Saccharomyces cerevisiae S288C: one gene and its partner. The main gene of each other region encodes a partner of the protein of the gene in region 2 in a complex. Each region holds a gene or a part of one and is shown on either strand. Other genes may lie near its edges. A codon is read from its position in the direction of its gene.

What was found.
Region 1: the proteins of TIM9 (region 2) and TIM10 are in contact, whole or in part, in a cryo-EM structure (PDB 6LO8), measured with the Saccharomyces cerevisiae proteins. Residues at the interface, in NP_010894.1 of Saccharomyces cerevisiae: Glu17 (codon at 981), Gln18 (codon at 978), Gln20 (codon at 972), Met21 (codon at 969), Phe24 (codon at 960), Met25 (codon at 957), Tyr28 (codon at 948), Ser29 (codon at 945), Asn30 (codon at 942), Leu31 (codon at 939), Val32 (codon at 936), Glu33 (codon at 933), Cys35 (codon at 927), Phe36 (codon at 924), Thr37 (codon at 921), Val40 (codon at 912), Asn41 (codon at 909), Asp42 (codon at 906), Phe43 (codon at 903), Thr44 (codon at 900), Thr45 (codon at 897), Ser46 (codon at 894), Lys47 (codon at 891), Leu48 (codon at 888), Glu52 (codon at 876), Gln53 (codon at 873), Ile56 (codon at 864), Met57 (codon at 861), Ser60 (codon at 852), Glu61 (codon at 849); in NP_011869.1 of Saccharomyces cerevisiae: Gln16 (codon at 758), Gln20 (codon at 746), Leu28 (codon at 722), Lys35 (codon at 701), Asn39 (codon at 689), Lys43 (codon at 677), Cys61 (codon at 623), Arg64 (codon at 614), Cys65 (codon at 611), Ala67 (codon at 605), Lys68 (codon at 602), Tyr69 (codon at 599), Glu71 (codon at 593), Thr72 (codon at 590), Asn73 (codon at 587), Gln75 (codon at 581), Val76 (codon at 578), Gly77 (codon at 575), Asn79 (codon at 569), Met80 (codon at 566), Met83 (codon at 557), Phe87 (codon at 545).

Annotation. Positions count from the first base shown.
Region 1 is NC_001140.6:115,099-117,858, forward strand, and holds TIM10 (protein transporter TIM10), read right to left. Parts: upstream 804-2,760; coding exon 522-803; downstream 1-521. Other genes in the region: STP2 (Stp2p), read left to right, coding at 2,716-2,760. UniProt on the Saccharomyces cerevisiae protein: Mitochondrial intermembrane chaperone that participates in the import and insertion of multi-pass transmembrane proteins into the mitochondrial inner membrane.
Region 2 is NC_001137.3:115,578-118,239, reverse strand, and holds TIM9 (protein transporter TIM9), read right to left. Parts: upstream 1,030-2,662; coding exon 766-1,029; downstream 1-765. Other genes in the region: URA3 (orotidine-5'-phosphate decarboxylase), read right to left, coding at 1,270-2,073; Arf family guanine nucleotide exchange factor GEA2, read right to left, coding at 2,440-2,662. UniProt on the Saccharomyces cerevisiae protein: Mitochondrial intermembrane chaperone that participates in the import and insertion of multi-pass transmembrane proteins into the mitochondrial inner membrane.

The DNA of each region.
Region 1 (2,760 bases), on a different chromosome or scaffold from region 2:
TAAAGAAATTGGTGGAATTCTACTATCCTCTTCATTTTAGACTATTTTTTAATATTTCCCTTTAAGGAAAACAATATGTAACAAAAAAATTTCTGCTCTCCATTTAATTGCATTTCTACAAGGAAGAATACGCAGAAGGACGCGCAGAGCCCTAAATTGATGTGCTTTTTAACATGCTGAGCCGAGTGCGTTTCGGTGAAATAACACGAAGATGCGTTTCAAATTGAAACTAGTCAGTGTTATCTGCATGAAAAGGGAATATCGTTATGCATTCAGTTTTCCAATAGAGACATTTTTTTTTTTTTAGATTCGGCTTGCTTTATCCACCTATGATCTTGTTTTCAAACAACATGTGCCATGTAAGATAAAAAGGTAAAGATGAAGTACAGAAAAGAGTATAATGTTACTTGTATATACAGGATATGAATCAATAATACTAATTATAACGTTGAGTCGAGTAAAACAGCTTATGGATTTCTTTTCTTATTTTCGTCTTATCATTACTGCTTTAATGCACATTTCTAAAACTTACCGGCTGCGTTAAATGATTGGCCCATTTTCTGCATGTTTTCACCGACTTGAACATTGGTCTCAAAATATTTGGCCACACATCTGTCTAGGCACGAAGATTCATTCTTATTCAGCTCACCCTCGGAATAAGAAGTATTGATACATTTTTTATAACAGTTATTAACCAATTTATTGAACATGTCTGTGACCAAATCTAGTTCAGCTTCCGCAGCTTGAATCTTTTGTTGAGATGATAATTGAGGCTGACCACCACCGAAACCTAAGAAAGACATGTTTTTCTAAGTATGATAGTTCCTTCTTTTGCTTGTTTATCTGTTAAAAGACATGAGAGGGGAACGAGGAGAGTAATAGTTCTTTAGAGAGCTTGCTCTTGTACGTTCACTGCCAGCTCTCTCGCTGAAAAAATTAAAGAAAAAAAATGTCCGATAGCTTCAGAGGGTGATCATCAGCTACGAATTGGGAAATCAATGCAAAAAATGCTTCCAATCGGATTTGAACCGATGATCTCCACATTACTAGTGTGGCGCCTTACCAACTTGGCCATAGAAGCTCTAATAGTGATAGGACCCAGATTATATTTAGTGACTTGTTGATAAATGTTTTAAAATATTACCTTCGTGTCGTTATCGTTACTGAGGAAAGATTTGCAAAAAATAATTACATACTTGGGCTCTTCTGAACGAACAAGTTAACCAAAAAGGTGTATATTACTTCCTCTTGTTTTGTTTCCGGGCTAATGCTTACCTTTCCTTTGTTTCCAATGTTCTTCTTTAACACCAAAACATACTATTTGAGAAATGGGTGAATGTTGAGATAATTGTTGGGATTCCATTTTTGATAAAGGCTATAATATTAGGTATACAGAATATACTAGAAGTTCTCCTCGAGGATATAGGAATCCTCAAAATGGAATCTATATTTCTATTTACTAATATCACGATTATTCCTCATTCCGTTTTATATGTTTCATTATCCTATTACATTATCAATCCTTGCACTTCAGCTTCCTCTAACATCGATGACAGCTTCTCATAACTTATGTCATCATCTTAACACCGTATATGATAATATATTGATAATATAACTATTAGTTGATAGACGATAGTGGATTTTTATTCCAACACTATTTGAGGTTTGGCAACTGTTGAAATTATTGTTAGGACATTGTTAAAAAAGGTTCTTTTATTAGGTCTACAAAAACAAAAAAAGTTTTTTCACGAGGACAGCGTGAATCACAAAGGTGAGGTCAATAGTTTTACATAATAATAAATAACGTTTTTTTTTTCTTCCTTTCATGTGTTGCCTTTCTTTATCCAATTACATTGTCAGCCCTTACATTTCAGTGCCTATTGAATTTGTTGACCACTTCCCATCAGCAATACCATCCTCTTACGCAATATATGATAATATACCCGCGACATAAATATTAGGTTAAAAACAGACGGCAAAATGTGCCTTGGGCGGCAAAATCATGAGAAGCGCACATGTCGTGATATCAATAGCACGGAATTCCAGAAGAGAGAAAATACCAGCACTTATAACAAATGATCACAGTAAGCGTGAAAAAGAAGAGCCTGTTGCTACAAAGAACATTGAAATGATAAAATAGTGAAAGAATTCCAATGAATGGGAATATGGATGGCATTTTGGCAAGAAATTGGGCGGTAAATTTTCGTAAAGCTGATTGATGGTCAGCAAAACTCTCTTCAGAAGAACCAGAGAAATGGGCCAATTCTCACGAAGAAAATTCTTATAGTGTGTAAGCATAGGTAACGATCACGATACCATTAATTACCTGCAGTCAAGAACGAGATTTATTAACTGAAGAAAAAAAACAGACCATTTCCCACAAAAATTGTCGACGTTTAACTTGTGACTGATAGAAAGTTATAAAGTAAGCTATTAATGGAGGTTCTGAACGCATGACATGCTCCTCTAAGGGCTAGAATAGAGATTATAATGTTATTTGAAGATTGAAAGTCTGTTACCCTTCTTAGAGTCATCCATTCGAACGAAGAGTATCTTTTTTTAGAATTCTTATCATTTTTTTTTTCTCTTCACATTCCAATACGGGCAAAAAGCGAGAAAAACGATGATTAATAAATGAAAAACAGTGATTAATCATCCGACAAACAGACAAATGCAAGAGAGCAAAAAGTTGGGGAAGTAAGGAAATCCATTATCATGCCTATCTTATCACTATCTTCAACACGGAACAGCGTGTTAACA
Region 2 (2,662 bases):
ATCATTGTCAACAGGATATGTTAACGACCCACATTGATAAACGCTAGTATTTCTTTTTCCTCTTCTTATTGGCCGGCTGTCTCTATACTCCCCTATAGTCTGTTTCTTTTCGTTTCGATTGTTTTACGTTTGAGGCCTCGTGGCGCACATGGTACGCTGTGGTGCTCGCGGCTGGGAACGAAACTCTGGGAGCTGCGATTGGCAGTGGAACAGTGGTAATTCCTACGATTAAGAAACCTGTTTACAGAAGGATCCCCACCTATGGGCGGGTTATCAGATATTATCAGGTGGGAAATTCGGTGGAACACAGTGGAGCCTTGTCCTCCGGGTTAATGTCGCTTTTGGCATTGGCCCCTGCTCCTGAGAGAAGAAATATACTGGGGAACCAGTCTTTACCGACCGTTGTTATCAGAAATTCACGGAGTTCGGCCTAGGTCGGACTCCGATGGGAACGGCAACGGTTGTTCCGTTTGACTTGTCGCCCGCTACGGCGTGAGCGTCAAGGTCTGTTGAGTGCAATCGTAGGACGTCATTAGTGGCGAACCCGATACCGATTACTGCTGCTGTTCCAGCCCATATCCAACTTCCAATTTAATCTTTCTTTTTTAATTTTCACTTATTTGCGATACAGAAAGAAAAAAGCGATAGTAACTATTGAATTTTGTTTGGATTTGGTTAGATTAGATATGGTTTCTCTTTATATTTACATGCTAAAAATGGGCTACACCAGAGATACATAATTAGATATATATACGCCAGTACACCTTATCGGCCCAAGCCTTGTCCCAAGGCAGCGTTTTGTTCTTGGAAACGCTGCCCTACACGTTCGCTATGCTTCAAGAACTTTTCTGAGCACTTCATGATGCATGTTTGTTCCTTATTGGTTAGCTTTGATGTTGTGAAGTCATTGACACAGTCTGTGAAACATCTTTCTACCAGATTAGAGTACAAACGCATGAAATCCTTCATTTGCTTTTGTTCCACTACTTTTTGGAACTCTTGTTGTTCTTTGGAGTTCAATGCGTCCATCTTTACAGTCCTGTCTTATTGTTCTTGATTTGTGCCCCGTAAAATACTGTTACTTGGTTCTGGCGAGGTATTGGATAGTTCCTTTTTATAAAGGCCATGAAGCTTTTTCTTTCCAATTTTTTTTTTTTCGTCATTATAGAAATCATTACGACCGAGATTCCCGGGTAATAACTGATATAATTAAATTGAAGCTCTAATTTGTGAGTTTAGTATACATGCATTTACTTATAATACAGTTTTTTAGTTTTGCTGGCCGCATCTTCTCAAATATGCTTCCCAGCCTGCTTTTCTGTAACGTTCACCCTCTACCTTAGCATCCCTTCCCTTTGCAAATAGTCCTCTTCCAACAATAATAATGTCAGATCCTGTAGAGACCACATCATCCACGGTTCTATACTGTTGACCCAATGCGTCTCCCTTGTCATCTAAACCCACACCGGGTGTCATAATCAACCAATCGTAACCTTCATCTCTTCCACCCATGTCTCTTTGAGCAATAAAGCCGATAACAAAATCTTTGTCGCTCTTCGCAATGTCAACAGTACCCTTAGTATATTCTCCAGTAGCTAGGGAGCCCTTGCATGACAATTCTGCTAACATCAAAAGGCCTCTAGGTTCCTTTGTTACTTCTTCCGCCGCCTGCTTCAAACCGCTAACAATACCTGGGCCCACCACACCGTGTGCATTCGTAATGTCTGCCCATTCTGCTATTCTGTATACACCCGCAGAGTACTGCAATTTGACTGTATTACCAATGTCAGCAAATTTTCTGTCTTCGAAGAGTAAAAAATTGTACTTGGCGGATAATGCCTTTAGCGGCTTAACTGTGCCCTCCATGGAAAAATCAGTCAAGATATCCACATGTGTTTTTAGTAAACAAATTTTGGGACCTAATGCTTCAACTAACTCCAGTAATTCCTTGGTGGTACGAACATCCAATGAAGCACACAAGTTTGTTTGCTTTTCGTGCATGATATTAAATAGCTTGGCAGCAACAGGACTAGGATGAGTAGCAGCACGTTCCTTATATGTAGCTTTCGACATGATTTATCTTCGTTTCCTGCAGGTTTTTGTTCTGTGCAGTTGGGTTAAGAATACTGGGCAATTTCATGTTTCTTCAACACCACATATGCGTATATATACCAATCTAAGTCTGTGCTCCTTCCTTCGTTCTTCCTTCTGCTCGGAGATTACCGAATCAAAAAAATTTCAAAGAAACCGGAATCAAAAAAAAGAACAAAAAAAAAAAAGATGAATTGAAAAGCTTTATGGACCCTGAAACCACAGCCACATTAACCTTCTTTGATGGTCAAAACTTATCCTTCACCATAAATATGCCTCGCAAAAAAGGTAATTAACATATATAGAATTACATTATTTATGAAATATCATCACTATCTCTTAGCATCTTTAATCCTTTTCTACATCAGATAACTTCGGTTTGTTATCATCGTCTGTATTGTCATCAATTGGCGCAGTAGCCTCAATTTCAACGTCGTTTGACTCTGGTGTTTGTTCATGTGCAGATCCATGAGATGATGAACCGTTGCCCTTCTCAATACTCTTCTTATCAAGTATTAATTGCTGTAGCTTTTTTTCAATATCTGAGTCCTCTACAAATTTATTGAAAATA